Mytilus edulis: one gene and its partners. The protein of the gene in region 2 purifies or fractionates together with the protein of the main gene of each other region. This does not show direct contact. Links are inferred from orthologs where the notes say so. Each region holds a gene or a part of one and is shown on either strand. Other genes may lie near its edges. The genes, in order: neurochondrin-like, 116 kDa U5 small nuclear ribonucleoprotein component-like, ruvB-like 2 and protein ecdysoneless homolog.

Region 1 (7,884 bases), on a different chromosome or scaffold from region 2:
ATACTGCACAATTTACACAAGATACTGTAAACTAACTTATTTACACGGATACTTGATTTAATTCATGTCCACTTCTCGGCTATTTAATTTTGAGATTTTCTAATTCATTTGATGTAATCAGATAGGGAAAGATCGAGGTTTCAAATATTTGTGACGATTTGTATTTATGTTATTTTTCTACTAGCAAAAGTCACGAAATAAGTTGGTTAACAGTATACATTTTGAACGCCCAAAGATGAATGATAAAAGATTAATATAAAGTAATGGCAATACATGTACAAATGCACCTGAGTAGCTTATAAATTTAATACATAAAGCACTGTGAGATAAAAGTATATAACATGTATGAAAAAACTTACCAGAAGCAAGGCTGCAAATTTTTCATTATCTGTCTTAGAATTTTCAAGTACAGTAAATGTTTTTCTTATGTTTTTATCTTCAGATGTTCCCATGCTATGAATAGTATCCTGTAAAAAAAGATGTGATAAGTAGTTTATAATTTGTATCCACCTCCATACAATACTGTTTTTCAGACTCGGTAGGGGCCACAAGAATGCCAACTATAGAGACATTTGGTGTGCCATTGTACTTAATTGTGACTGAAGCAATGTTGTCTGAATGTCTGTCAAATTTACAGCATAAAGATAGTTGTCTTGACTTAAAAAATTCGTCTCTTCATACCCTTGTCAATTATCTAAAGAAATGTCTAGTGCTTCTAGACCAGAAGAGGCAGTTGCATTTTATTTTCATAGAATAAATCAAGTTTTTTTCACACATTTTACAATGTGTCATTAATTTTCACCCAGGACTGAGGTTTAACTTTACTTTTACTTACACAGATTTTGTGCCGAGTGTGCTCCATCAAGAAACTGAAAATGTTCAGGACATACAAAAATCTCATCTGAAGTTTTGTACTATTTGTTAATAAGGCCAAATAAAAATATATGTGTGGTTCCAGTTACCTACTTTTAAAAAGTAGGGTCGGTAGGTAGGCAATTTTTTAAAAATTTTATTTAGATTTTTATTTTTGATTGTCAAAATCTGGAAAAATCGTGTGTTTACCGAAATTGATTCTGGTATTATACACGCCCCTACCGGAAGTTCACCATTTTTACATTGTTTGGTTGTAAAATAAACAGTCATGTTATGTTTTTAGTTGATTTGATTTAGTTGCATTCTGTTATGAATTGTTTATTTTAACCATAACAGATACTTCTGATTGAAATCCAGATGACAGTAATCTATGATTTTAATTATTTGAATTTACAATCCTTAAGATTTAATCGTTTGAAAATTTATTTTTCAGATATGAAAAAAAAAGTTCTAGGGTCGGTCGAGTAACTGGAACCACACATATATTTTTTTTGGCCTAAACACCAGTTTAATATTTTCATTTGTGGAGAAAGTTGCAGATGAGTTTTAATGCCAAAAAATGCCTTGTCATTAGAATATCACCAAAAAATCGACCAGTGATACAAACATCGTACCATCTACAGGGTCATACTCTAGACACAGAGGAAGCAAGTAAATATCTTTGAGTAACCATCAGCAACAACCTAACATGGGATAAACACATACATGTAGATAATACAGTAGGCAAAGGAAACAGAACGTTGGGATTTATACATAGAAACCTCAAAGGCTGTACAAAACCTTTAAAGGCAGCTGCATATGTATTCATGGTAAGACCTGCAGTGGAATATGCAAGCACAGTATGGGACCCAACCGCCCAAAATAAAATAAAGGCAGTTGAACAGGTACAGAAAAGAGCTGCACGATTTGTGAATAACAACTACACAGACCAAACACCTGGCTGTGTCACAAATATGGTCAAAAATCTAAAGACGTGGGAAAGCCTCGAAGAACGGAGGAAAACAAACAGATTATGCATGCTATTCAAGATCCAGCATGATCTTATAGATATAGACCGTCACCAATATTTGACCCCGAATGATAACCGGACCAGAGGTAAAAACCACTTCTTCCAAGAAAGAACAAGTACAGACACCTACGGCCAATCTTCCCGAGGACAATCAGGGACTGGAACAACCTACCAACAACAGTTACAGCGACCAACACCGTTGAAGGATTCAGAGCTGCCCTGAAGGCATGCTCTGAAAGGAAGTAGGAAAAACCAGTTATAAATAATTTTAATTGTATATTTTTTGTGAATGTTTTAAATGTAATTTGTAAATAGCCAAGAGAAATCTTTCTGTGTTGCCTGACACTGCGTAAAGTTTTCGCGCAGAACCATTAACATTCAGCATTGAATGCCGTTCCTTACCTGGAAGAAGAAAAAGAAGTTGGAGTGAAAAAAAAAACTGTCCTTTGAAGGGAAACTTAGAATTATGGTTAACATCTAAAACCCTTGAGACATACAGGGGTAGACCTCACAACTCCAGCGTTTACTTGCTAGTGATGCAGCAGTTGAACTTCTTTGACCAATCAGACGCGAGGCCACTCAAGAACATTGTGAAAAATTTACTGTTGAAAGTGAAAGTAGTAATCATTACCAAAGTGAAAGTGGGTAGAAATAAAAAAAATCGGCATATATTCAGGACTTAAATTATATTCTCTGGGTATTTAAGGTGGTATGGGTGTCTTCCTCCATCTTGGATTGTAAAAAATAGAGAATCAAAGGTCCAGATTTTCCATCAAGTTAGCAAAATTTGATGCAGGAATGCAGATGTTTAATGTATATTTTCATTTAAAAGTACCAATTTATAAGAATATAACTTCTAAATATTGATATTTTTGCAAATGTTAATTATTTTTGGTTGTTTTTATTTTTTTTTTTAAATTGGCATTTTAAGGGGAGGTAACTCTAAAAAAGTGCATTTTCTGAAGGATTCTGTATGGAATTTTCCTATTTTGTATTTTAGCCGGAAAAAACGTACGGTGACCCTATCTTTTCTTTTGATATTCTCAAAGCAGTGTCTGAAAGCTATCTTTTCCTGAAGTTTTTAACAATTCTATCATTTTGTTTAGTTTCTAATCATATAATGGTGTTTTTTCCTGTATAATCCATACAAAATGTGTCATTTTGTCCCGTCCTGTAGCTTGAGAAAATGCACGGTGACCTATCATTTTTATTATATTTTTCAACATGTATCAATAGATACAACGTTTTGGCAAAGTATGAACAAATTCTATCATTTTTATTTTAGACTCCCATACCACCTTAAGGGGCCCAAGCTCTGAACAGAGTCAGAGAAAACATTAATGCGTTTTGCTAGAACATGCATTAAAAAAATAATGGGCTCTTCATTGTTTCACATTACATGTATGTAACAGTTGTAATTTTTAACAGCCAATTTGTTTTATGCAAGAAATTCAGTTTCAACAACGGTAAAAATAATTGGGATTTGTGATTTGAGATCAAAATGTAAGCTTATAACTTGATATGTTGCAAAAAAATATGTGCTTTTCTGGGAGTTGATCTATTTTATGAAGCTTAAGGGTCACGATAAATTAAATATTTTACACATGCTATAGACTGTAAAAATTCACGAAAAAATGCATCAACCTGATAATGTATTTTACCTGCAGAGAAATGTAATAAACTTACTGCTCTAAAAAATATAATTTTTAAAAGTCGTCTTCTGTTCGAATTTAAAACGGAAGTTGCATGCGGTATGATAAATTTCGAAACGAGGACGGTACGATTCAGATATATATCCGAACATTTTGTTTAGTCTGAGAGGGCTGAATACTTATTGTTCTCTGCCCCCAGAGTTTTATTATATACAAGGACGTAAATTAGTTATACGTCCTTGTTATATACTAGTTATTTTTGTGTAATTAGTTACCAAATCATAAATTCATTATTATCATAAAGCAAAAAAAAAGAGAGTTGAATAGGAAATAGACTGAAAAAGTTTAAGAAGATAAAAAAAATGATTTTATTGAGTCGCCAATCTACAGAAAAACTAGACTGGTTTCCGATCGCAATATTAAGTGTGTTACACATATACCAATATATTGAAAACAAAATGGACACAACAGATTCAATTTTAGGATACTGTGAATTCAGAAATTATTTCATGCATTTATTATTGCGATTTTGTCATTTTAGACTATTACGCAATTTTTATTTTTGCATCATTGAGAAAAGTCCTGTTTGATTCTCATACAAAAAATCAAAATGCGAATAGAAATTTTTGGGATTATAACCCTGTCGCATTTTTCGCAATAATAAAAACATCGCAATAATTTCTGAATTTACAGTATATATAATAACAGCTATAGTAGGCTGTCAAATGAAAACAATAATTAAATTATCTCATTAATAGTCACAAATTCAAGAATTTTTCAATGATTGATTGCACATATTAAATAATGAATGCATTTTGAACTCTTTCTTGTCATCAAATAAGCATTGAGGTTAAAAACAAAATGTTAGCAAATCAACAAATTATTATGAAAAGTGACAAAAAATTCTTTTTGGTAAAAATTCCTCAAACCTAATTTATCTACCCGTAATTTCAATATCGTGAGAGAGTATGCTAAAAGCTAATACCTGGAACGTAGTACCGGGAACCAGGATACAGAAAAACTGACTTGCTTATACTTTAACTCTTTCATTTAAAATATGTTAAGTGTCTGTGATGACAACACTACTAACTCCAAACGTACCTTGAGTTTCCTTAAGATAAAAAAAACTTAGTGAACTGTCACAGATTGTAGGTATTCCTATGGGCACCAAGTGTGCCCCTTTAATAACAGGCTTGTTCCTTTAATGTTATAAAGCACAGTATATGGATAAGCTCAGTAAATATTTCATCAATTCTTACCGTTATTTTGATGATATATTTCGTTAAATAATCAAGAATAATCAATGATTCTCACACTATACGACTGAAATTTACCAAAAGGAACCTAGTTTAGATAAATTCAATATCAACAGCAATACCTGGCCTTTCCTAGATTAAGACTTTCAATATTACACCAGATACTATACTACAAAATTCACGACAAAAGGGATGATTTTCCGCTTTCCCTGTTGTTCATTTTCCATCTTTGGACGGCAATGTTTCTTTGGCCAATCTTACTGTGTTTATATATCCCAACTCGTTCGCTATGTTCGTGTCTGTAGTGACGTTTTGGATTACAATGAGCGTAATCTATGTATTACAAGTAAATTATTAAGTCCGAGATTTCGTTACCACAAATTACTTTAAACCTTTACTAAATTTTTCATAGGTACAAATATTTGGTCTTCAAGTTTGGCTGAACCTGTAAAAAACTTATTTCAAACAGAATAGCATATCCAAAATTTTACGGTGATATCGTAAACCAAGCCCAGAAATTTAGATAAGATCCGGGTAAACGTTTTAATCCTTTAGAAAAACTTATTCAAAATGGAAACATATGCAACACTGAAATTAAATCTTTGAATATCGTTTTTATTGGTTATCAATAAATCAAAACCATACTGAATGTTACACATATATATATAATATATGCACCTTCACGGTACTTCAATCTGTCGAAATTTAAAGTTTGGCATTGCACACGGTCGTGTGTTCCTTTGACTGTTAATGACGCCTTACACTAATCAATTGATTTTTGTATGTGTTCTGATCGACATTTAAGTCCGAGATACATGATTTTCACGTTTGTTGTTATTGGCTTCGAACTAGCTGTCAGTAACTACGACTTACTCTCAGATCTTTACTTAGTGTCATTGTGTTATTGGGATGTACAAGTACCCAGCCACCACTACAGTAATGTATTTTTGTTAGATGTATTTCTATTTGTATGAGGGGGGGGGGGCAAGGGGTTTAACTGTTATGCTGTTATGGGGCAATTTTATTCTTTGTTATCTGTTAATTTGAAAATATATTTGCTGTTAGCTGTTATTGTCTTATTCATTGTTAGCTGTTATTGGGCTTTTAGTTTTTTTGTTATCTGTTATTGTGATAATGTATTTGCTGTTAACTGTTATTGAAAATTGGAATGTTAACATTTTTTTGAGAGCCAATTTCCGTAGAAATTGAAGATCATTGGACATTGGGGTCTACCACTAGTAATATGTTGGTCACGTATTCGGAGAAGGATTCCATTAACATATACCCATTACAGAAGTGAGGTCAAGGACAATTACAGTATATCTTATGATTATCCTTTGTAATAAATTCCATTTTTGTTGGAACATGTATTTAGTATTATCTTATTTTTTGGTATGAGGATAAATTTCCTTGTTTCCCGTACCAACATATTAAATCAGAACAATTTTTAATATGACAAAAAGGAAAACATATATGGCCAGGAATATCTGACAAGAATCTCAATTAAGGACTAGGTCCTTACAACCAGTTAACCTTTTATATAATATGGTACATTGACTCAGCTTTGATTTTTTTCAAAGCAGAACGAAACACACATTATTTTTAAAAAACAGTTGTTGGCATGACACGGGTTATGTTCTTCTCACATATGTTATGATGGTATGCTACTAAACCCCTAACGGGAAGGATTGTGCCTGATGTTCATATTATGAAATCATAATCTTTCAGTCAGTTTAATTGAAGTCTGGAGCTGGCATGTCAGTTAACTGCTAGTAGTCTGTTGTTATTTATGTATTATTGTCATTTTGTTTATTTTCTTTGGTTACATCTTCTGACATCAGACTCGGATTTCTCTTGAACTGAATTTTAATGTGCGTATTGTTATGCGTTTACTTTACTACATTGGTTAGAGGTATAGGGGGAGGGTTGAGATCTCACAAACATGTTTAACCCCGCCGCATTTTTGCGCCTGTCCCAAGTCAGGAGCCTCTGGCCTTTGTTAGTCTTGTATTATTTTAAGTTTAGTTTCTTGTGTACAATTTGGAAATTAGTATGGCGTTCATTATCACTGGACTAGTATATATTTGTTTAGGGGCCAGCTGAAGGACGCCTCCGGGTGCGGGAATTTCTCGCTACATTGAAGACCTGTTGGTGACCCTCTGCTGTTGTTTTTTATTTGGTCGGGTTGTTGTCTCTTTGACACATTCCCCATTTCCATTCTCAATTTTACATTGTACGATGAAAGTTCCAACCATGTACTGGGTCCCGAAGCAGCACATAGCTCATTACAAACAAAGATTTATTTCGTCTTCAAGCCATTGCTCCCCTACTAAACTATGTATTCTACTTACTAGTACACTTAGTCCAATCAATAGCCTGATAAAAAATTGTTCAAATTGAGCCTTTGAAAATAATGGAATAAATTACTTTTGGAGTGTTAAAATTGGTTCGATGTACTTGATAAATTGCATGCTTATAATTGGTGCTTTTGATTTTTCAACCCTATATACTGAACACTTTGCCTCATAGTCTTATGAAGAAAAATTCACACACCTCATTAAATGGGCATTTAGAAAAAGTCAGAATGCGAATATATATATTCAAACTCTTTTAGGTCATTTTTAGTATCAACAAACACAAGAACTATGTGAATTGAATACCATAACAGCCCTTGAATTTTTACTAGATATCATTTTTGTCTCTTTGACATATTCCTCATTTCCATTCTCAATTTTATTACACACTATTTAAATTACAAGCATGTGTGAGTTTCTATAACTGTATAAAAATAAATGCTGAAAAAAAGTATTCTATGACAAATAAACAGCTACGCCATGAGCGCATGATACGCCCGTCGCCCTTTTTGAAATATTCGATAACTTCTATATGTCATATCAGATATTTATAAAAATTGAAAGGGAGCTTCAGTCAATATATATAAACTATACACCAAAGTTTCATGCGAACTGCTGAAAACATTTTTGACCGAAAACTGGAAAATACCACCCTTTTTAATAAATAAAACCCCTTCACTCAATAACATAAAATCTAAAATTAATGAAAATAGAAAGAGCGCTTACAGCAATAGCTATAA
Region 2 (8,773 bases):
TTTTTAATTCCCGCATCTGCACAGAAATCCACAATGTACTTCCTTTTTCCATTTGTTTTCCGGTCTCGTTTGCATGAAACTTTGAGTAAAATATATATTTATCAGTCTAGTATAAAATAGGAAGGAATGCAATACCAATTTCATTTTTAATAATTCTTTGATATGAAAAAACGTTACCTGATCATATAGCCTTTCTTTGTTTACATTGCATATGACATCCTAAGTTAAAGAACGTCACAACTAAAATCCCTAACAACAGAACCAAAATCAGAAACGTTACAGTATTTCTGTTTTGAAATTAAAATATGTTTGAATTAAAAAAAAATTTAATTCATACAGACAGACAGTCCCCTTTCACAGGTAATGATTATGCCTGCCTCATATTATGATAAATGATTCTAAGATGCATTTTTGTGTAGTTAAAAAGAAGTTCTTATAAAATAGGAGCACTGTATACTGTTGAAGACCATGTAGACCTGGAGATATGTGGGCATCTAACTGGATTAGTTAGGAAAGATCTCCTTAAGCTCAATAGGTTAGAGCAATTCTTTGAAATCCCTGACATACTGTTGGTACCATCCATAGATTTTCACAATATTGGCATTGCGAGCATCTACTAGTGTGCACAACTGTATGTAAGTGTCTGGCAGTTTGATATGGTTATTATGTTTGACAGGTCATTGGATGACTGATACATGTCTGACTGACATGCAGGGAACTGATCAGAGGGTTTCAGAGTGACTGCTGAGTTGTACAGTAACGGACCTGTGAGGTCAAATGGATGATGTGCAGCCAAAAAAAGAAAAGAGGGAAGGGTGTTGTAGACCTGGAGTTATAACGGCGTCTAACTCAGTGTTCTCCCCAGAAATTTTGGATAGCATCACATTTTGCGTAAAAAAAAATAACTGTATTTTTTTTTAATGCAGTGTTCTAGGATTTTTTTGGCACCTTGACTTACCACGGGTAAGATCAATAAAAAAATTACTTACCCACATCTAAAAGTTAAATCCGCCAACCAATGCAGACAGCGCCGTCCGCTGCGGCGAGCTAAAGCTCGTCGCCCTTATGGCCGGGGGTCTGGGGGCCGCTCAAAAAACTTTTATGACATGCTTTAAATTATATGTTGTGAAGTTTGTCTGAACAAAGCTGGATTCGGATACGATTGAATTTTATACAAAATTTAAAAAAAACGATTTCTTACTAAATTTGACAAATATGTTATAGTTATTACTATGTCATTTATTAAGAGCTATAATAAATGCAACTGTAAGTTTATTTTCCTCCGATGACAAGAAAAAAAAATCGTTTATGTCCCGATTTAAGCACCAGTTATCAATCCGGATTTTCCGATTTTACCGACACCGTGACCGACTTTTAGAATGATAGGAGAAGAATGTGGTCTCTTTTGCGCTTGATTACACCTAGTAAACGAGTGCTTGAATAAAAGCGCCGATAGACATCGACAAAATCTTCGATCTTTTATCAAAGTTTTTTCTCGTGATTTAATAAAAATAAAAAGCAGATATGGGAAAATTGAAGAGGACCTGGAAATTTCAAGAGTTTTTCGGCTTCCCCGAACTTGAAAATTGACTTACCACCGGGTGACAAAGGCTAAAAAATGACTTACCCGTTGTCCTAATCCACTTACCCCGGGTAACGGGTAATGGGAATCCTAGAACACTGTAATGTCATTTGTCGCGTCGCGTTGATGCTCTATTTCCTTTATATGTTTTAGTTTATATTGTTCAATTCATAACTAAGAATTCAATTAAACTATAACAACAAAAACAGTTGTTTCAGTTTATGTTTTCTTTATTCATTTATAGTTACAGAATTATTTTTTTCCTCTTGTGCCAAATAAAAATAAATATGTGCTTTCAGTTACCCAACACATAAGTCAAATGAATGAATAGTTCATTATAGTGCAACCTGTATATATACAAAACTAAATATCTATTACACAAAATGAACTATTTTTTTATATTATATTAAGTAAAGATAAAGTAGCAAAAGTAGTAAAAAAAAATATCAATTTAAAAACCTTTTTTTATCATGTTTATGAAATTCATTGTTCCATGGCACTCAATGAATTAGTCCCTGTTGTTTCTTATCTTTACATCAAAATGATATGTATTTTTAACAAAGTTATCTAACAAATAGTCTATTAATGCGTAGTTTTCTCTATTGGTATATTTTTTCTGTCTACTGTCCGTCTGTTGTCATTATTGTGAAAATGCGGATTTTTTCATATCTGGTCCGGTTCCGATCTGTAGTATACACAAAAATGTGCTATGGCGGCCGTAGAAAAATTTACGAAAATGAGTCCGAGAATAAACATTGTTTGACAAGAGATTGTGAATGAATAAGACGCTTTTAATGCATTAAATGCATTAAACATAAACTAAAGCCAATTATGATAACTTTTTAAAGAAGTATAAAACTTATTTTAGCTCAAAACCAAAATTCTCGCTCTTGTATTACAGGAAGAGAAAGAAAGTATATTTTGGAGAGTTGCAAATATAAACGACCTTTTAAAAAAAATTCGTTTTAATCTTTGAAATTTTGTAATACAAAACATAGATTTCGAATTGTTTTTGTGATTGCATTTTTCCATGTCGAAGTTGGTGATGGCAGACACGTGGTATAAGTCATGTCACGAGTGTCAGCTTGGGATATTGGCATCCAAACATTTATCACCCTGAGGGCAATTAACACCTGGCTATTTAATCCCTTAATTGCCTTTAGTGTCCGATTTAAAGGGATTACAATTAAAGGTGATGTAATTTTTATGATAATAATCGATAATAGATGAAAGTTCAAAATTGAGGACAAATAAAATAGCATCTTCAAAATAATTATAGCGTCGCGGGAATTATTATAGCATCACGGTGCAAAAATATAGCGTCACGGTACCGCGACGCTAAAACGGCCTGGGGAGAACACTGTAACTGGTTAAGTTCATAGACTTTTTTAAAGCTGCCTTAGGAATAAGGTTTTTGAATCCAGTTGGTTCAATATTATACTTTCTGTCTAATAGTAATAAGCTTCCAATCTTAGGGTTCGAAAAGAGTAACGAAAGTATCATTAGGACATGACAGCTACGGTTCCTCAACTACTTTGACAGGTAACTCAGAGTGAGTGAGGGAAAATAATACCTATGACTGTATGATACTGTAACAAGATCTTTGAGTGGAAAGAAATATTGCATACAGATTTCTCTTAATGTTGGACAGAAGGTTAAATCGTGCGCAAGATGTTCATCCTTCCAGTGGCACAGAGGACATGTTACATTTATTTTGTATTCACTATGTTAAAATTTGTGCTTAATATGAATAATTTTTTTCACAACAGTAGTGATTTTTTTTAGTACAAATGATAACAAAGCAAAAGTAGGGACCCAATCTGATTACGGTGGTCACAGAAAGGCACATTAACCGGCACTCTGTTAAATAATTGAGTTGCGTAATGGTATACCTGATCAGTGTAAGATAAAAGTACTGGAATCAATAGATAAAACAATATTTCAAAAATACATGTGGGACGCCGACACCGGAAGTGTACAAATAACGTTTGGCCTTCGGATTTCTCTAGACTTCAGCTTGTATTAAAACGAAACTGTCCGAGAGTGTTTTTTTCTAAATTCTTTATCAATTACGGACGAAGCAATCAGCTTTGAATACGGAAATGTCACAATTTATGAAAGGAATAATCACAGGCACATTCACAACACTTGCAGCAATTGGCTCTTATCGAATTTTATTTGAAAATGATAACCAAGAAAGTAATGAATTTAAAAAACAAAGATAAAGAATTATTTGAGTTTTTTGCAGTGGTATAAAAATATTAGGGTAAAAGTTTCTATAAAATTTTTGTTGAACACATGAGTCTACACTTACAGTTATACTGTCTTCTATACATGAGGGTAGTAATTCCCTTTATCGTTAGGCATCAAATGGTCATTTTCAGTTGCTGCAAGGATTTGTATAGTCTTACTATACAAATCCTTGGTTGCTGTGAGCGTTAAAATTAAATTGGTAAAAATTTTACAGTGATTCATCAAAATATCTTTATCTTCCTCAATCTTTACAGTGATTCGTCAAAATATCCTTATCTTCCTCAATCTTTATTCATCAGAGGTCCCAAATAATTATCGTCACTGTCTTTTTTGTGAATAGTATAATGTGATTCATCAATATCAGTCGATTTTTTTATCATCTAAAAGAAAGTATACAGTTAATTAACATCATGCACAAAAAATTACCATTAACGTTATTTGGCAACAATTTTACCATTATTTGTCATTAAAGAACCCCCATTACCACCCTCCTATATCTAATAATAATCATGATAATACTGGCATACAAAGTTATTAAAGGTTGTTTTTTTTTTATATGAAAGCTATTGTCACTACCATATAAATCTTCAATTCTCAGCTTTTTATACGACCGCAAATTTTGAAAAAATTTTCGTCGTATATTGCTATCACGTTGGCGTCGGCGTCGTCGTCGTCGTCGTCGTCGTCGGCGTCGTCGTCGTCGTCGTCGTCGTCGTCGTCGTCGTCCGGCGTCCGGCGTCCGAATACTTTTAGTTTTCGCACTCTAACTTTAGTAAAAGTGAATGGAAATCTATGAAATTTTAACACAAGGTTTATGACCACAAAAGGAAGGTTGGTATTGATTTTGGGAGTTTTGGTCCCAACATTTTAGGAATTAGGGGCCAAAAAGGGCCCAAATAAGCATTTTCTTGGTTTTCGCACTATAACTTTAGTTTAAGTTAATAGAAATCTATGAAATTTTGACACAAGGTTTATGACCACAAAAGAACGGTTGGGATTGATTTTGGGAGTTTTGGTCTCAACAGTTTAGGAATTAGGGGCCAAAAAAGGGCCCAAATAAGCATTATTCTTGGTTTTCGCACAATAACATTAGTTTAAGTAAATAGAAATCAATGAAATTTAAACACAATGTTAATGACTACAAAAGGAAGGTTGGTCTTGATTTTGGGAGTTTAGGTCCCAACAGTTTAGGAATTAGGGGCCAAAAAGGGACCCAAATAAGCATTTTTCTTGGTTTTCGCACCATAACGTTAGTATAAGTAAATAGAAATCTATGAAATTTAAACACAAGGTTTATGACCATAAAAGGAAGGTTGGGTTTGATTTTGGGAGTTTTGGTCCCAACAGAATAAGGGGCCCAAAGGGTCCAAAATTAAACTTTGTTTGATTTCATCAAAATTGAATAATTGGGGTTCTTTGATATGCCGAATCTAACTGTCATGACTGTGTATGTAGATTCTTAACTTTTGGTCTGTTTTCAAATTGGTCTACATTAAGGTCCAAAGGGTCCAAAATTAAACTTAGTTTGATTTTGACAAAAAATCAATCAGTTAGGTTCTTTGATATGCTGAATCTAAAAATGTACTTAGATTCTTGATTATTGGCCCAGTTTTCAAGTTGGTCCAAATCGGGGTCCAAAATTAAACTTTGTTTGATTCATCAAAAATTGAATAAATGGGGTTCTTTGATATACCAAATCTAACTGTGTATGTAGATTCTTCATTTTTGGTACTGTTTTCAAATTGGTCTACACTAAAGTCCAAAGGGTCCAAAATTAAACTTAGTCTGATTTTAACAAAAATTGAAATCTTGGGGTTCTTTGATATGCTGAATCCAAAAATGTACTTAGATTTTTTATTATGGGCCCAGTTTTCAAGTTGGTCCAAATCAGGATCTAAAATTATTATATTAAGTATTGTGCAATAGCAAGTCTTTTCAATTGCACAGTATTGCGCAATGGCAAGAAATATCTAATTGCACAATATTGTGAAATAGCAAATTTTTTTTTAATTAGAGTTATCTTTCTTTGTCCAGAATAGTAAGCAAGAAATATCTAATTGCAAAATATTGTGCAATAGCAAGATTTTTTTTTAATTGGAGTTATCTTTCTTTGTCCAGAATCAACTTAAATCTTTGTTATATACAATATACAATGTATATTCACTTTTTACTACCAACTGATGAATTAAAATAATCTTTACCATTCAGTGATAACAAGCAGTTTTTTTACATCTTATTTCCTTATCTTATCTAAAATGTTTTTAGATTATGTATGTTGGACATTTGCCAGACATGACTATGATGTCATTTTCTATTTTTATTTGCCCATTACTTTATGTAAATAACTTCATTGGAAATTTGCCAATATAAAATGTTGCTGATGAAGTTTTTTTTATTGTTTTATACAATAAACAATGTATATTCACTTTTACTACCAACCAATCTTTACCATTCAGTGATAATAAGCACTTTATTTTACATTTTAATATTTTATGATGTATTTAAAAGAGTAGTTATTGTTGCAAACTCCATTAGAAATTTGAATTGATATCAGTTTTGGAAAAAAGGAAACGGGGATGTGAAAAAGGGGGGGGGGTTAAATTTTTCTCATTTCAGATTTCATAAATAAAAAGAAAATTTCTTCAAACATTTTTTTGAGAGGATTAATATTCAACAGCATAGTGAATTGCTAAAAGGCAAAAACAAACTTTTAAGTTCATTAGACCACATTCATTCTGTGTCAGAAACCAATGCTGTTCCAACTATTTAATTTTAGATTTAAAAAGTTTGAAGAAGAAATCTTTAATTGTAAAATTTGTAAAATCTTGACATTTGTTTTGTGTAAAAAAACCCCATGTAATGTCAAAAATTTGATCACAATCCAAATTCAGAGCTGTATCACGCTAGAATGTTTTGTCCATACTTGCCCCAACTGTTCAGGGTTCGACCTCTGCGGTCGTATAAAGCTGCGCCCTGCGGAGCACCTGGTTTGTAAATAATATGTAAATAAGTTTGTGCAAATATAATTGTCTATATTTAAGCCTTACTGATAGTAATGTTTCAGTGAGAAAAGAAGAAGATGTGGTATTATTGTTAATGAGATAGGTACAACTATCCACCAAGAAAACAAAATGACAACAAATTTGATGAGTGTTTTCTTGAACTTACAAATGTATGTCCATCAGATTTATATGGAATCATCAGTCTACACCTATAGCTATACCACTCTTTTGAAGAAAACTTACAGATCTGATGAGTCAAATCTTTTACACAACTAATTTTGATAGTTTATATGTTTTGCTGTTAAACCATTATCCCAAGCTTTTGAGAAAGTTTAGTGCTCACAAACTTGTCCTGAGTGCAGAGCCTGTACTAGTTCATTGGTTGTTGTTGGTTTGTCTGTCTTTTTATTTGTTTGTTTTTTGTTTGTTATTTATTATAAAAAATAATATTTTCAATTGGTTTTCTCTTTTGAATTGTACAACATTTTGTCATGCATAGACATTTTATAACTTTACTATATGAAGGCTCTACAGTCCCCTTTTTCGTTTACATCCCTGTTGATTACTCTCAGTCAACTAGTTTTACTTCTTTTTATATTCACTGTAACATCTGAGAACATTAAAATCTTATATGAGATTTTCAGTAAAGCAGTGTTAGAGAACCCATTTATTACATCACTATTTAATAGATTTCTAATATGTAGAAAGTTAATCTAAATTGGGTAGTATGAAATCATTGATAAAAAATATATCTATGGTAGTAATTTTTTTGTACTTGACCAAAAATGTAATTTATATTGTACATTTTCAGAAATAGAATTAAAATAATAAATCAAGAGGAAATTATCTGAGTTATTTCCCCTTATGAAAAAAAGTATAACTGCTTCTTGAAATGAAAAATTAAAATCTATTGCATTTTATATGAACTGAACAGACAAGATGATCAATTTGGCCAGCAACCCTTTTTTTTAATTGTAGGTTTATCATCAAAGACCAGGGCAAGTGAGACTATTCTCAAGTATGGCATACCAGATCGTGGGCCAGATATAAGGGTTTATGATAATCACATCTTATCATATGATCAGGCAAAGAAAACACCTGTTTGGGTTGCTGAGTATATCACCAAGAGAAATATTGATGGTAATAATTAACATTATGTGAGCCTTATAATTCAAAATGTCTGTAACCTTGGTGACATGAATAATCAAATTGAATTTGTATTAAGAGATCATTTTCTGGTCATAATGTATACACACACTTTTTCCTCCTATTGTTCCATAATTATTTTTTTTGAATAATTGCAGTTTTTAAGAATTTCTATTCCCCTGCAATTTTTGAGAAATTTTATAATTTTGTCAGTCTTGAATAAATAGTATTTTTTTTATTTAAAAGATGATCTGCACTTATTGATTTTATTTATTTAAAAATGACACCAGTAGTTAATCTTTTACTACTATACAGAGTAAGGTTATGATACCATTTGAATTCATAACATGCATAATGAAGAGAGATTTTATAGTGGTTTTGTTTTTCATTTGTTTGTTTGGTTTGGTTTTCATTGCAGTTTAAACATTCAAGGTCTTACAGTCATTTCATAATAAATCCTCTATCTCAAAACTAAATGAAACTCAGAAATCATTTAAGTGATTGTGGGATGTTCTTCAATGAGACAACAACTCAATGAAACATAAAAAAACAACACATATAAAGATACATCTTTTAAATGTCACTTAACAGTATTAGAAATAAGTTAAGTGCTCTATGATTTCAGGACCGGCAGACAGAAGAAAAATCAAATTTAAATCTGATCCAAATGTTCAAACTGAGTTCAGTGCTGAGAACTCTGATTACCTAGGAAGTGGATGGTCTAGGGGTCATATGGCCCCAGCTGGGGATAATAAACACAGTCAGGTCAGTGGTAATAGATTAAATCATG
Region 3 (7,972 bases), on a different chromosome or scaffold from region 2:
TACATCCAAGTCATTTGAACCAATTGTCTTATTGGCAATCATTTCACATCTCCTTAACGTTTATATGAAAAAGTTTTTAGAAATGCTCATTGAAAATCTTCTTTAGTGATTTAATAATACTAACCCATAGCTATGGCTGTCTTGCCTGTACCAGGATGTCCTGCTATCAGTATGGCACGTCCTGCAATTTTTCCTTCCTACAAATATATAATTATAGTTAATTGTGGCATTTTTATTAACATGTTTTCTTTTGAAGACAAACAGAACACTATGGTTATGACAGTCACTTGACTATGAATTACAGGAAATGGTGCTGGCAACTGAAATCTTTTTGACGGATGTATATTGATTACAAAACCAAATTACATAGCCATATATAATGCACTGTTCATCACATGAACACTAATGTAAACAGAATTTTATTTCACTTCTGAAGCTTTTTCTAAAATTACCTTGATTATTTCTAAAATAACACCAGCAGCTCTTCTGGCATCCACCTGTCCAACCATTCCCTGGGAAACATTTCTGGCTTCAAGTGCATCATCTAAACCAAGTCCTCTGATGTGTGAATGTGCTCCTAGAAATTATTTAATTTAAAGGTCTACATGTTTTAAAAGTGTTTCATATGCAAATATTCTAAGTTGGCCTATATAACCAAGTACCAAAACCTGGATGGTCCTGCTGATGAGTACTATTATGGTATGTTTTCTGATTTTGTTAAAAAAATAATTTATTCAATGAAAAATTGAACAATATAAATTCTTTTAATTCTTTTTAACCCTTTCAACGCTACACAAAAAAATAGAAAAATGGCTGCTGCTGCTGCATTTTTTTTTGTGTTCATTCATTAGAACAGTATATTCCTTTTCAGACTGCTGTATCTTTTTTATTGTAAGAGATACAGAAAAAGTTATTGCATGAAAAATGCTCAGGAGAGTATGAACTGTAATGCTAGGCAGTTATTTCAGTAAAATTTTTATCAGGTTACCTGCATTTTCAGGTAATTAACAGGTAAAAGGTGTAATTTGTTACATTTGTGTTGAATTTTGAATAAAAACTACTTTTTGTCTTCATCTATTTTTTTTTTATCTGCCATATAATAAAGAAGACACCAATTGCTCAATTCCGTAGCGTATTGCACCATACACAACGTATTATGTAATCATGGCACAAATCAGTGGCTCTGTCCTCAAAATTTTCAGTCAACCTCCGTTTTCCCCCCTTTTTCTACGTCTCGTAATGATCGATCAAATCATATTTCCCACATGAATTGAATGTAATAAACACATTGAGATAACAAGAAACCTTTTAACTAATCCTCGTCATCAGTTTCGCCATAGAAATGCTGAAATATTTCCATATTTACAGCTTCGTTTCCGATTTCTGCCATTTGCATTTGTCAAAATATTTGTTTTTATTTTCTTTCAATTTTCCTTCTACTGCATGATTTTACAATAAAAATTGCCGGGATTTCAAGATCAATGAGACCTTGCATATCCTCGATTCATACAAGGAAAAATTAGAGAGGACCCGAATGAAAACCGAATGGTTTAAGAGTCCTTATGAAAAATCCGTTGTCATCGCGGCATATGCTGCGAATAGCAGTGGCGGACGATGTATGTCATCGCGGCATATGCCGTGTATAGCGTTGAAAGGGTTAAAACTAAATTAAGCTGACTGCTGCATGATCTATATGTAAAATTAAAATCTCCATAGAGGAAAGTGTTAACAAAGTTTACCTATTCTTTCAATCCTTGTCACCTCTCTCACTTCTTTAACGGTTTCTGCTGATGGCTGTAACAAACAAAACATATTATGCACATATATCTTCTTATCTTGCCTTGTGTTATTCAAATTTTCAGAATAAAGTAAAAAAGAGATTCTTTAACATGTTTAAGGTTTTTGAGGCAATTTATTATTATTAAATTGAATATCTATCAATCTATCCCTATGCAGATTACAGAATCAGTAGAAGTTTAAAGTTTATTAAAAATAAGTTGGAACTAATTAAGATTTTTTTTACAAAGCATTTTTTATATTTTGAATTTATTCAATTTAGAGGTACTGTGTCTTTTTCGTTTGTTTGAAATTATGATGCCTACATCTTAATCACTTGGTGATGGAAGTCATATGACAGATTCAACTAACTACCATATCCCAGAACTGGTCTATCATGAGGAATAGTGTGAATCTGGGTCTGTTCGCCCAGCGTCCATTCGCCCTAATTTTTTTTATTTTTTGGGGATTGTTGTTTAATTCATGTAATTAAAAAATGTTCATTATTTGAACAGAGTATGTCAGATTTATTTTATTCATAACTATTTTTGCAATTCTAATTAGTCTAGTCATCAGTCGTAATAAATCAATGAACTTATGAATCCTATTCATGTTTTACAATTCGTAAACGATTGGTTTTTTTTAATCATTCCATGCTGACTGTAGTTTATCAAAACAAAATGTTGTTTTATTATTTTTCCATTAAAGACTTTTATGAGTATTGTAATTATTACAACAATCAATGAGAATTAATATTACCATAAACAATAAATTGCTCTAAAACAAGCCAGTAACTTTAACAGTCTGCACGGTTAGCCACTAGTCCGATGCCCCAGACTAGTAAAATTTGGTTCGGACTAGTAAGTTTTTGCAAAACTTTGTTTGGTCCAATAAGAAAAATGTCAGAATATTGGTCTTCGGACTAGTAGTTGAAAAAGTTTTTGGTGCAGACTGACTTTAAAATCTTTCCATGTATTTTCATGAATTTTGAGTATTTATACCAAATAATTATCTGAGTAAACCTATTAAACTTTAATAACCGTGAAATAACATTTTTTTAATCAAAACATGCAGAACAAATTCAAGGCGAACATGTAATCAGGACAAATGGACTTGATACCTATATACATGTATAGCGATTATCATGATTATGAGTATTGTTCATGCTGGTACATATTCAGACTAAATCATTAACACTATTTGTGTAGGTGTACCGTCAGAACTGTTTTTGTACTATAATTAATATTAGACAGTTTTACTAATGATGGAATTGCAGCTGCGGTCCTTATGCTATTTTTTGACTATTTGTGGACCATAGAGCTACGGATTTTTCCTATTTCAAAATGTTCGGAATTGCGACCCAGGTTCAGGTCGCACTTATTTCCCAAAAATGTATTGTTTATAATCATAAGCTCTATGGTCTGCAAATAGTCAAAAAATAGTATAAGGACCTAAGAGCTACGGTTCCGCAGCTAATGGAATTGATGCATTTTTAAATTTCTGAAAATTTTTATTTTTTTATATTTTGTTGGAAAGTTCATCTGAAATTTAGTTCGCAATTTTGGATGACAGATATCCTATAAGACATTTGTTTTAAGTTATCTTCGAAATTGCCTCTCATCAAGTAACAGGTAACTACTTGTGCAAATTATATTTGTTTTCTTTCACTTTTCGCTTTTTGTTTTTGTTGACAACAAACACGTGGGGGCCGTCACCTCACAGATTGGGAACCCAAATAAACTTTAGAGGTCAATATATGTCTAGGAGTCTAGCTTTGAAGTTTCATAATGCTTTCTTTGAATAATCATGTTTTGATTACAGTCTAAAGGAGTTGATTTATCACGAAAAAGAAGAAAATGCGACTTACGACTGCCATTGCCGGTGTTTGTAGCGCCCTCTATCTAAGTACAATAATCTTCTGAGTCGACAAGAATATTCTGGAAACGGACATGTAAAAACGTGAAACACAAAACAGTGTCACAATCTCTATGGTTTCCCACAGGCACATGTCTCTAATTATTGTTAACTTTATATCTGTTATAAAAAGGTATTAAGCGATTTTTACAGAAACATGTGCATGTGGTTTGAAATATAATATGATTGATTCTCTTTTAAAATTAAAAATTGTTTTGAAAATTAAAATTAATAAATTTTATTGACTTGAAGAAAAAAAAAAGGTTCCTGCATGTTGTTGTTCAAATTCATGACAAGGTTTTTAGGATGCAAAGTAAAGTTTATTACCATTTCAAGAAATTGACTAGGCTTAATTCTGTCTTATATTGTTGCAATTTTTGCTAACTTTAAAAAAAACTGAGAAAAAATATGATAAATAAAATAGAAACTATATTCTCAGTAATTGTTCAGCCAAATAAGTGTTAAAAACAGATCTAATGACTGAAAAGGTCAGCCCACTGTTTTAAGTTTTTGCTAAGGTACTTGGGAATAGAACATTTTTTTAAGCACCCCCCCCTTTCTTTTTAATATATCAGTATTTTTTAGTTTTCTTTAAATCTGAATTATTTTTTTCATGTTTATCAGTGGGGCAAAATTAATACAAATATACAAGAAATGACATGCATTTCTTACACTTCCTATTTTTTTTCTTAATATTTTCCTGTTATCTTGAATTGTTGTTGTTGACCTTTCAAGTGATTTTAATATATATATATTTATGCCTCAATGAACTGGGAAATTTTTGGAATAGGAAGGCTTTTGGTTTGTATTGTGATGAAATCTCAAAATCCTGCAAAAGACAGAACTAGTGCAATTTGGTTATGATTAGGAGCTAAATTCATTAACAAATCTTTAGTTAACAGATATGTATGTTTGGTCATCAGTTTTTACCAATTCCTACAGGTATGACATAACCTCTCATCTCTGATCAGACATAATAGATACACAATTAAAATGATAAATTCAAAACTTTACTGAGGTTTTTTTTTATAATGTCCAACATTAATTTTAAGGAGTAATTAATACTTAGCTTCTGAATCTTTATTCTGCATCATGGCTATGACCTGAATACTCTGTTATTCTTTACTTTTTAATAAATAAAGAAATAAAGAGCTGCTGAACTAATGCCTCCTATGTTTTGTGTTTATAGTTCCTTTAAATGGATATCATATGATATCATGTCGTTCACCTGATATTTTTATTTACAATTGATGCATGAAATAATGCAACCGTTAAGTTTCAGATTTGTCTGAAAATTTGAGGGTAGACAAATGTTGACCTGATAAACCCCATTTCAGATTTGATCTAAATGCTTTGGTTTCAGAGATATAAGCCAAAATCTACATTTTACCCCTATGTTCTATTTTTAGCCATGGTGGCCATCTTGGTTAGTTGGCTGGGTCATCAGAACTCTTTTTAAAATAGATACCCCAATGATTATTGTGGCCAAGTTTTACTTAAAGGAGTAGGGGCATTAATGCCTGGTTTTAGCCCAAGAAAATAAAATGTTTGATATCTTTTTCAAATTGGCACATAATGTTTAGAAATGCATAGGATAAAAAAATATAAATGAAAAACAAAGATTTTTAACTGATGACATCACAATTACGTCAAAATATGTACTGTTTCCACAATAATGGTGAAAAATCCAGAATTTATGCAGTTTTCTATCATTATTTCTGTTGTGGAAACAGCGTGCTCAGCCAAGAAACAACAAAATAATTTAACAGAAGCATTATTATAACTGTTGATATAATCTCCCCAAATATAAAGTTGTTTCTTGGGTGTGCACATACTTTTTAAATCTAACATATACTTAAAATTTGATGAAAAACAAGGAAAACCATGAAAATTTTACAAAATTTGCAAATTATGTCATAATTTGTTGCCATGGTAACTCATTCAATGTCAAACTTGTTTTGTTTTTCTGGATAACTTGAACCTTAGTAAAGTTTTAAGTTATTTAAGAATATGTATGAAATTTTTAAAATTTGCAGTAATTTTTGCCCCTACTCCTTTGGTCCTGTAGTTTCAGAGAAGATTTGTGAAAAAAGTTAATGACAGACGATGACGGATGCCAAGTGAAAAGCCCACTTGGCCCTTTTGGCCAGGTGAGCAAAAAATAAAATACTGCTACATTGATAACAACATTTATTGTCATTAAAATATGCAGTTTACTTAAGTGTAGTTGTCAATGTAGCGGTGTTATCAAGTTTTTGTTATGGTTTTCTTTCATGTAGAGAATGATGACTGTATGAAGGACTTTTGGCATCAATTTAAAATATTGATTAACATACACTGTTGGGTTGCTGTCTCATTGATGTATGTTTTCCACAAATGTTTCTGATATAATGTAAATTCAGAAATTCTTGCTTTGTTTTTGTTTTTGTTAAAATTGAGAAAGGATAGGTTTTTCAAAAACAATAACTGATTTATTAAAATATATTCATCTATTCATACTTGTACTCTTTTTAGGGTGACTATATAATTTATATTTTACACCTGCTACAAAAGAAATGGGTGTACTGGTTAACATATGTCCATAGTTTAATAACATTTTGATCAAATTTTTCTCAGGAACTTAAATTTTGAGCTTCTGAAATTTGATATCAAGCTCCACATCGGCATGCTTGACTGTGTGATGCACTTTCAGATTCATCACTCATATACCACAATTTACTGATTACTTGTATTTAGACATATTATGAACATGAATACATTTTTTGTGACAGTCAAGGCTTTCAGAAATATGGAATCAACCTTTTATGTGTAATGCTCTTTACATCCCTCACTCATCAACTTCCTGTTTACCAAATACTTGTACAAATGTATTTAGACATATTATGAACATGAATACATTTTTTGTGACAGTCAAGGCTTTCAGAAATATGGAATCAACCTTTTATGTGTAATGCTCTTTACATCCCTCACTCATCAACTTCCTGTTTACCAAATACTTATAATAAGTAATTTCCTCAAATTAAACTTAAAATGCTAAAAAGGCAAAGAAATTCCTTTTTCATATAAAAAAACAAAGTTTTGCAGAATTTCTTTAATGTGCTAAAATGAATCAAAAGCACTGCATGATGTATCCATTATTGTGTACATACAAAATAATATAATAATAAATATAAATAACAAAATAATAAATTATAAATATAAAATATATCAAGAATTTCATTTTTTAAATTTGAATCATTCATTTACGAATTTGAATCATTTATTTACAAACTTGAATCATGAATTCAATTATAAATTTGAATCATTCATTTACAACTTTGAATCATCCATACATAGGCATATCAATTAACAGACATAAATTTTTTTGTTTAAAAACCTCATACTCCAAATACTCATATACCCAAGATTCAAATCAAAAAACTTTAAAACATGGTAATTTTTTTGGTTTTGAATTCTCTCAGCATGTTCACAGGTTTATTATTTCATGGTTTTTAAACATTACAACACTAATTTATTTTTAATGATATATATTATATAGGTACAATGGTTAATGTATTTGTAGCCACAAAACAACAAAGATCAAATACAACACAAAAAAAACAAAACTTTTACAGTATTCAACATGAAATAGCCAAGTGTTTTGAATCAAGCCAAATTACAAGTTTATATAATGATGAATGATTGACCTGGTAGGTATCTTTCCTGAGATTTCAGGTAGAAAGCACACACTGAGCCTAAATCAAGTGAATTTTTTATCAATTTTAAAAACAGAAAAATTTGCTTGTAGTTTCAAGCCAAAATTTCAAGCAAATTATGACTTCTGATATGTAAAGTAAAAAAAAAACCCAGTGCTGATCAAAGAACAAAGATCTATATCAATTTAGGCAAAGTCTATATACAAACAGCCAACAGTATTAAATTGACATATCTAAATGGCTCAATTTTAAATGTGAACAGCACATTTAACCATAAAACATTACACCAAGACATTAAAGTTTTAGCATAATGAACATATACAATCTAGCAAATGAGGCATCAAACTGTTTAGAATGTATACAACACTCATTTTACATCTAATAAAATAAATTTGTTTCACTTTTAGTGCAAAATCTAATGCATACAAAATTTATATATAGTACATTTATAGTCAAACTTGACAATTGCAAAATAAATAAACTGTTTGGACTAATAATGAAATGACTCACTAACAATTCAATTTCAAATTTGCAAAAATATTTATTTGTATAAATTCTATATCAATCTGATTTCTATATATTTGGAC
Region 4 (8,691 bases), on a different chromosome or scaffold from region 2:
AAAAAAATATATTTTAGTTTAGGTTGTCAGTTTTTTTCTAAAAAAGTTTGAATATCATGAATATGTGCATAATGAATCTTTATAACTTTTGACTATCTTAAAAATACAAGTGAAGGTATCTTACTTTGCAACTAAGCAATCAAACTGTTTGGTTAATGTGAATAGTAGGTAAACAATAAGCCATTCATCCTCAACGTTATCACCATAACAGGTTTTTCCATACAGGTGAGGTGGTAAATTATCTAGAAATAATGATAAGATGTTACACATCTCCTGTTTAAATATGATTATAAATTTAAACTTCATTGTCTTGTAACAAAAATATCAACTCAAGCTTTTTAATTTTAGCAAATTCCTTTCTTTCTTTCTTCAACCATTTTGGGGATCTTTTTGTTGTCTTAGCTAGCTAAACAACAAAAGAGTTATTTACTATACATGTAGTCCTTGGTGTCCAGTGGCAAATATTACACATGTTTAATGCATGTTCAGGACAATATAACTCAGACATGCCTGTGTCTTAGTACAAGACTGAACAATAATGACAATGCTTCACATCTGATCTTGAGCAAATTTTAACCAGGTGCTCCGCAGGGCGCAGCTTTATACGACCGCAGAGGTCGAACCCTGAACAGTTGGGGCAAGTATGGACAAAACATTCAAGCGTGATACAGCTCTGAATTTGGATTGTGATCAAATTTTTGACATTACATGAGTTTTTTTTACACAAAACAAATGTCAAGATTTTACAAATCAATTAAAGATTTCTTCTTCAAACTTTTTAAATCTAAAATTAAATGGTTGACACAGCATAGGTTTCTGACACAGAATGAATGTGGTCTAATGAACTTAAAAGTTTTTTTTTGCCTTTTAGCAATTCACTATGCTGTTGAATATTAATCCTCTCAAAAAAATGTTTGAAGAAATTTTCTTTTTATTTATGAAATCTGAAATGAGAAAAATTTAACCCCCCCCCCCCTTTTTTTCACATCCCCGTTTCCCTTTTTCCAAAACTGATATCAATTCAAATTTCTAATGGAGTTTGCAATAATAACTACTCTTTTAAATACATCATAAAATATTAAAATGTAAAATAAAGTGCTTGTTATCACTGAATGGTAAAGATTGGTTGGTAGTAAAAGTGAATATACATTGTTTATTGTATAAAACAATAAAAAAAACTTCATCAGCAACATTTTATATTGGCAAATTTCCAATGAAGTTATTTACATAAAGTTATTGGCAAATTAAAATAGAAAATGACATCATAGTCATGTCTGACAAATGTCCAACATACATTATCTAAAAACATTTTAGATAAGATAAGGAAAAAAAGCTTCATCAGCAACATTTTATATTGGCAAATTTCCAATGAAGTTATTTACATAAAGTTATTGGCAAATAAAAATAGAAAATGACATCATAGTCATGTCTGGCAAATTTCCAACATATATTATCAACTACTATTCTATACAAAGAAAGATAACTCCAATTGAAAATTAATTGCTATTGCACAATATTGTGCAATTAGATATTTCTTGCTATTGTGCAATACTGTGCAATTGAAAATTTCTTGCTATTGCACAATACTTGATATGGAATCCTGATTTGGACCAACTTGAAAACTGGGCCCATAATCAAAAATCAAAGTACATATTTAGATAAAGCATATCAAATAAGCCCAAGAATTTAATTTTTGTTAAAATCAAACTTAGTTTAATTTTGGACCCTTTGGACCTTAATGTAGACCAATTTGAAAACTGGACCAAAAATTAAGAATCTACATACACAGTTAGATTTGGCATATCAAAGAACCCATTTATTCAATTTTTGATGAAATCAAACAAAGTTTAATTTTGGACCCCCATTTGGACCAACTTGAAAACTAGGCCAATAATTAAAAATCTAAGTACATTTTTAAATTCAGCATATCAAAGAACCCCAAGGATTCAATTTTTGTTAAAATCAAACTAAGTTTAATTTTGGACCCTTTGGACCTTAATGTAGACCAATTTGAAAACGGGACCAAAAATTAAGAATCTACATACATAGTTAGATTCGGCATATCAAAGAACCCCAATTATTCAATTTTTGATGAAATCACACAAAGTTCAATTTTGGACCCTTTGGGCCCCTTATTCCTAAACTGTTAGGACCAAAACTCCCAAAATCAAACCCAACCTTCCTTTTATGGTCATAAACCTTGTGTTAAAATTTCATTGATTTCTATTTACTTATACTAAAGTTATTGTGCGAAAACCAAGAATAATGCTTATTTGGGCCCTATTTTGGCCCTTAATTCCTAAACTGTTGGAACCAAAACTCCCAAAATCAATCACAACCTTCCTTTTGTGGTCATAAAACTTGTGTCAAAATTTCATAGATTTCTATTCACTTAAACTAAAGTTATAGTGCGAAAACCAAGAAAATGCTTATTTGGGCCCTTTTTGGCCCCTAATTCCTAAAATGTTGGGACCAAAACTCCCAAAATCAATCCCAACCTTCCTTTTGTGGTCATAAACCTTGTGTTAAAATTTCATTGATTTCTATTCACTTTTACTAAAGTTAGAGTGCGAAAACTAAAAGTATTCGGACGACGACGACGACGACGACGACGACGACGACGACGACGACGACGACGACGACGACGACGACGCCAACGTGATAGCAATATACGACCAAAAAATTAAAATTTTTGCGGTCGTATAAAGAAGGGTTACAATTTATTATTGGCGATTCAAAGTCAGGCAGAAATGCAATCTAAAAGTAAACAAAGTAACCTTTTTCAGTCACAGCAGTCAAATTAAACTGCTCTTTTTGCCAAATGTGGTCGACAATTGTTGAACTAACAAAAGCAGGATAAGTGTCAATATATTCAAGTAAAATTTTCACTTTGTCTCTTGACATAAGCCAAGGATCCAAGGATGTGTCAACAAAGGGGAAAAGCCAATATTCAGAAGCATTGTCGGGTAGTCAATCTTTCTTTTCTACCATGCTTATTAAATGACTGGTTTGTAATAATTAACTACGATAACGATAGCTTATTTTCAATTGTACACATTTCTACAAAGAGTTGCATCGCCAGTGGCAAATATAATTACACATGTTTAACTGTTAATGCACATTCAGGACAATATAGCTCAGATATTCCTGTGTCTTAGTACTTGACTGAAAAATAATGAAAATGCCTCACATCTTGGGCAAATTTTATAGAAGGGTTACAATTTATTTTTGGTGATTCAAAGTCAGGCAGAAATGCAATCTAAAAGTAAACAAAGTAACCTTTTTCAGTCACAGCAGTCAAATTAAACTGCTCCTTTTGCCAAATGTGGTCGACAATTGTTGAACTAACAAACGCAAGATAAGTGTCAATATATTCAAGTAAAATTTTTCGCTTTGTCTCTTGACATAATGATGTGTCAACCAAGGGGAAAAGCCAATATTCAGAAGCATCGTCGGGTAGACGATCTTTCTTTTCTGCCATGCTAATTCAATGATGACTGGTTTGTAATAATTAACTACGATAGCTTATTTTCAATTGTACACATTTCTACAAAGGGTACCAGTCAAAATTTGCGGAAGTTCAGCACAGGTCGTAACCTCAATAAATTGGCCAATCATTTAGAATGTTACAAAGTGCTTTGGATCCGAATCATGTGATCTATTATTTTGTGAAAGATGTTGAAGCCAAAAGCATTAACTCAAGTTTTGAGTCAGGCAAATACTGGTGGTGTACAAAGCACACTGTAAGAATATTAACTAATATCAAAGTTTATGAATTTAATGATATACAAAGTATGCTAAAAATAAATGAAAACAAAATGAAATACTTTGGCATATCATTATCAGATCAAATCATTAACTGGGTAGAATCCTTTCTTTCAAACAGAACGCAAACAGTACTTTTAGAAAACATGTCATCTTCAAAAATACCAGTCTCATCAGGAGTCCCACAGGGTACAGTGCTAAGACCAATACTATTCTTAATTTACATAAATGACCTCCCAGATTACATCCAACATAGCAAAATCAGACTCTTTGCAGATGACAGTATAATCTACGGATCTCCTGTAGTTGGTGATCGCAATACTGGTATACCAGTATTGTCCACAATACTAAAAAATTTGTACCAGTATTGTAACTTTTTATAAAAAAAAACCAGCAATACTGGTACATTACTGATATACCAGTATTGTAGTTGTATTGTTGACTAGACTATATTGAAGATCAACGGGAGATTAAATGAACTCAAAAAGATTATAAAGGATAATTGTGAAATCAATTAACAACCAGTTAAAAGTCATTACTATACTTGCACAAATAAACAAAGGATTATTGAAATTAACTCATAACATCATTATTATTTAAACAATTGCTAATAATTTTATCATATTTCTATATTTTATTTAATTCAATAAAGATAAAATAAAATAAAAGCTTTTTATTATCTGAGTAATAATTTAATAAATTCAAGCAAATTATTAGACTCTAACACTGTAAATTCAGCATTTACATGTATGCCATCACACATTTTGACAGATATTTTAATACATGTATACATTTTTTGTGTACTAAGATCATATGCATTTGTTTGTCTTTATTTTCTTATTAATCTTTCACAACAAAAGATATCAATATTATTCATTAATTATAAAAAATTGCTTTATAGGGGAACCTTGTTATAATCAAATTAACTAGTTTGTCTACATGAATGTTAAGGGTTGAAGCAGTTGATTCAGAACCATGGACAATACAATTAGTAGCAGATACATGTATATCTACTGGTACAAATACTAATACTAGACCAGCATTCTGACAGTAAGAGAGCTGTTCAAATGCTATCTGAAATAGCTTGTAATCTAGTAAGCGTTAGAGAAAGTCCACAGAGACAGAATACCTAAATACCAATATAGGAAGGGGGAGGGGTTGCAGAAATCACATCTGAAGAAGAAATAGACAATACCAATGCTGATGATACAGAAGCTATAACAGCATTAATGTCAATATAAAATTCACTAAAATATACTACATGAATCTTGGAAAGAGAGAGCTGAAAGAAAACATAGAAGAAAGTATAGAGTTTGTTAAAATGCTGATACAGAATGGTTAAGAAAAAAACATCAGAAGATTTAAAACTTTATTTGATGACAATCACAGTGTACCATCTATGGCATCATCAGCTAAACACAATCATTCCTAATAAAATTGTCATGTCATATGTTAATTTCATTATGCATATATGTGACACCTTTAATAAAAGATTAATTACCTATATTGTTTATTTAAAAAAAAGCACAATACTGGTACAATACTGGAGGGCGCACTACGTTTGCGCGCATTTGGGGATTAAAATGTTTTACGTTTGCGCGCAGCTTTTGATTACATTTGCGCGCATTTATCTTACAGGTAAACCCAGGTAAAAAACGGTATATGATGAAATATGAATAATATAAAATTTCATTAACTTTGAAAAGATGTTTTAATCATAATTTATATTGTTCATATTGTATTCTAAGACAAAATATAAAGTGTGCATGATAAATTCTGTTATAACTTAAGGCATACATGTAACTTCATTGCGAATTTTTTCAGGGTGATCAAGTACCCCGAATAGTGATCTCTTTAAAATTCGTAAATAATCTATTGAAAGCTAGATTGTAAAGTTTTGTCAAGTAACGGACATTTGAAATTTTTTTTAATAGCAAATCGGGGGAGAAAATCATTAGTATGCTATGAGTATTAAAATTTCCGGATTGATAGAATATAATGCAACCGACTTATCCTGCTTGTATCCAACTTCTACCTCCTCGTGGGTGAGTATAGGTGACTTAGTCAAAAGGAAAGGGTACTTTTACTTAAAATAATTGAATAAATTCATAGATAAATAAGAGTTATTGCCTAAGCTTACCTGAGTTTACCTGTCAAATAAATGCGCGCAATTGTAATGAAAAGCTGCGCGCAAACGTAATGATTTTTACGCGCAAATGTAATGGTAATGCGCGCAAACGTAATGCACCGATACTGGAATACAATACTGGTACAAAATTTTTATACCAGTATTGCGATCACCAACTACAGGAGATCCGGAAAAAGATTGGCTTATGTCTTTCCATCCAGACAATTGTAACATCATGAATATAACAACAAAAAGAAATCCCATCCACTTTTATTATAACATGTATGGACACATCTTAGAATCTGTAAAACATGTAAAATACTTAGGTATCACCATCTCAGCAGACCTAAAATGGAACACCCACATCCAACAAACCGCTGCAAAAGCAAATAAATCCTTAGGTTTCATCAGAAGAAACCTTAAAGTCCAATCGCAAACAATTTAAGAAAGAGCGTACCAAACACTCATAAGACCAAAGTTGGAATACTGTTGTACTGTATGGGACACATTTACAAACGAAAATATAAAATCACTGGAAAAAGTACAAAGATGGGCAGCAAGGTACGTGTGCAATAGACATCACAACACCAGCAGTGTGTCTGAGATGCTAGACACCATGAAATGGCAAACCTTACAAGAACGCCAACTACGAACAAGGCTTATAATGTTCCACAAAATTGTAAATGAAAATATAGCCATTCCATCGCAAAATGTATTACAACAGAGTCAGTCTACTACAAGATCCACCAATAAAGAATCCTACAGACAAATTCATTGCAATTAAGACAGCTATAAATTTTCTTTTTTCTGTCAAACCATCAAAGACTGTCCACAAACTATCCTCTGAAATTACCAAAAACACTACTACAGAAAACTTTAAGGATGCACTCACACGTGCTCCTTGATACTTACCCTCATCTGAAATAAACAGATACTCTTGTTTTTATCTTATACCAAAAAATAAAAATAAAAAATGTAATATTTAAAAACTAAATAAAAAATTGTATAAATTAAAAACAAAGAAAAAATTGTAAAAATTGAAAATACAAAAATATATGACCAAAAACAACTTTGAACAAGAAATATTTTGTTAATTTATATTTTCACAAAAATTATTCACATAAATTTATTAAAAAACATATACCAGGCATGCACTGGAAAGTAAACATCAGTACATGGATGGTTTTCTGTAACAAAAGAAGAAGAAAAAAACCATTTAAACAGGTTAAAAAAAGAACATGCAAGCAGGCTAGATCATACATGCAAATTATTAGTCCGAGATTACTCAGATGTCCAACAGCTGTTTTGCAAGACAAGTCCCACGGCCCCAGCTTGTCTGGCAAAACAGCCGTTGGACGTCAGAGTAATCTCGGACTAACATGCAATGTATAAAATTAAAATTATTTGTTTGTTTATAAGAGCCTAAAGAGGGGGGTAAAGGGTGAATAAAAGTTAAAAGATTAGTGCAAGGTGAATGAAAGCTGTCAAATCTTTTGTTATTGATGTCAATATCATGGTTGTTGATCACCTCTTAAATCAGTTACAATATTATTATATTCACCATGAAACCAGAGTGATATAACAATAAAAACTATACTACAAGGAATCTCAAAGTTGGGTTATCATATATATATAATGAATTAGATTTATAATTTTTTTAAATCTTGGTAATTTGACTCACTTTACAGGATCAATTGACCTGGTGTCACATGGTATTTTGAACCTTCTGTAAAGTGAACTTGAGGTCTAAATACCTTAATATGGTAAATTGACGCAGGGGTCATAATACCGTATATACCAGTACAAATTTTCTAAAAAGTGTTTTAAGGTGTAATCAGATACAAAGTTGAAGGAAACCATATGCTCCTACATGTATATCATGTATTGTTTTATAAAAAGGGTCAATAAAAATGTCAAAACTGGAACAGGATTAGTATGTATGTATATATACATGATATAGGTGTTGCTCTCACCCAATTAGAACATTAAGGCTAAATAGAAAGTCCATGTCTTGATAGCTATTTATTTTGATATTACCCGGTAAAAGGACTGCATATTACATGCATATGCACTTTTATTTTGATGCTGATACTTGTAATTATATTCATTTTTTTTTAACAAGAGATTTTTTTTAATTGATCTATTTTTAGGTTGTTGAACAATGAAGGAGCCTTATTAGCCTATTCTGGTTATGGTGACAAAGATGCTGCTGTTTCAGCTGCTATAGCTGGTAACATTTGGACAGCCTATCAGAAGAGTGGGTCTGCAGCTTTTAATGATGATAAATTAAAATTAGTTCTGTTGGAATGTGAGGTAAGAAAAGGAAAAAGCATTCAATGATAAGAACTCAATACCAGCATTTACTTTTAAGGGTCCTGGGATGGATAAAAGGGGTTCCTGTCTTATTTTTGTAAATTCATAGGAAAATCTAAATCTTGTAACATCCTTGTGATCCCTTTTATGTCAAAATTGGTAGTTAATTTTAATTTTGGATAACAATACCAAATTTTAGGAACTATGTTTGTAACAGGATTTCAATGAAAATCAATATGTACATGCAGGTACAATTTGCTATTCCAAAATAATTTCCTGTGTCAAAAACATTTGGTTGCTTACCAGTTATGGAATGCCCTCCATTAATACATTTTGTTTGGATGTAAATGAAACTATATATTATCAACCAGGTGCTCTGCAGGGCGCAGCTTTATACGACCCCAGTGGTTGAACCCTGAATAGTTGGGGCAAATTTGGTCACAATATTCAAGCTTGATTCCGTCTGAATTTGGATTGTGATCAAA

Evidence for each region.
Region 1: the proteins of 116 kDa U5 small nuclear ribonucleoprotein component-like (region 2) and neurochondrin-like purify together in Homo sapiens (affinity purification with mass spectrometry; 4 studies listed by BioGRID and IntAct, with this or other methods). This does not show direct contact. The link is inferred for Mytilus edulis from reciprocal best matches to the Homo sapiens genes EFTUD2 and NCDN.
Region 3: the proteins of 116 kDa U5 small nuclear ribonucleoprotein component-like (region 2) and ruvB-like 2 purify together in Homo sapiens (affinity purification with mass spectrometry; 5 studies listed by BioGRID and IntAct, with this or other methods). This does not show direct contact. The link is inferred for Mytilus edulis from reciprocal best matches to the Homo sapiens genes EFTUD2 and RUVBL2.
Region 4: the proteins of 116 kDa U5 small nuclear ribonucleoprotein component-like (region 2) and protein ecdysoneless homolog purify together in Homo sapiens (affinity purification with mass spectrometry; 5 studies listed by BioGRID and IntAct, with this or other methods). This does not show direct contact. The link is inferred for Mytilus edulis from reciprocal best matches to the Homo sapiens genes EFTUD2 and ECD.

What each region holds. Positions count from the first base shown.
Region 1 is NC_092348.1:64,190,981-64,198,864, forward strand, and holds the start of neurochondrin-like, read right to left. Parts: upstream 3,657-7,884; 5' UTR 3,544-3,656; intron 468-3,543; 5' UTR 453-467; coding exon 360-452; intron 1-359. UniProt on the Homo sapiens protein: Probably involved in signal transduction in the nervous system, via increasing cell surface localization of GRM5/mGluR5 and positively regulating its signaling. Required for the spatial learning process.
Region 2 is NC_092345.1:82,432,563-82,441,335, forward strand, and holds the start of 116 kDa U5 small nuclear ribonucleoprotein component-like, read right to left. Parts: upstream 3,622-8,773; 5' UTR 3,475-3,621; intron 1-3,474. Other genes in the region: nuclease EXOG, mitochondrial-like, read left to right, coding at 3,685-3,781, 7,816-7,977, 8,609-8,748. UniProt on the Homo sapiens protein: Required for pre-mRNA splicing as component of the spliceosome, including pre-catalytic, catalytic and post-catalytic spliceosomal complexes. Component of the U5 snRNP and the U4/U6-U5 tri-snRNP complex, a building block of the spliceosome.
Region 3 is NC_092350.1:44,666,642-44,674,613, reverse strand, and holds the start of ruvB-like 2, read right to left. Parts: upstream 3,739-7,972; 5' UTR 3,653-3,738; coding exon 3,644-3,652; intron 1,795-3,643; coding exon 1,740-1,794; intron 578-1,739; coding exon 453-577; intron 198-452; coding exon 125-197; intron 1-124. UniProt on the Homo sapiens protein: Possesses single-stranded DNA-stimulated ATPase and ATP-dependent DNA helicase (5' to 3') activity; hexamerization is thought to be critical for ATP hydrolysis and adjacent subunits in the ring-like structure contribute to the ATPase activity.
Region 4 is NC_092352.1:35,102,607-35,111,297, reverse strand, and holds the start of protein ecdysoneless homolog, read right to left. Parts: upstream 3,512-8,691; 5' UTR 3,482-3,511; coding exon 3,280-3,481; intron 243-3,279; coding exon 125-242; intron 1-124. Other genes in the region: ragulator complex protein LAMTOR2-like, read left to right, coding at 3,676-3,743, 8,044-8,206. UniProt on the Homo sapiens protein: Regulator of p53/TP53 stability and function. Inhibits MDM2-mediated degradation of p53/TP53 possibly by cooperating in part with TXNIP. May be involved transcriptional regulation. In vitro has intrinsic transactivation activity enhanced by EP300.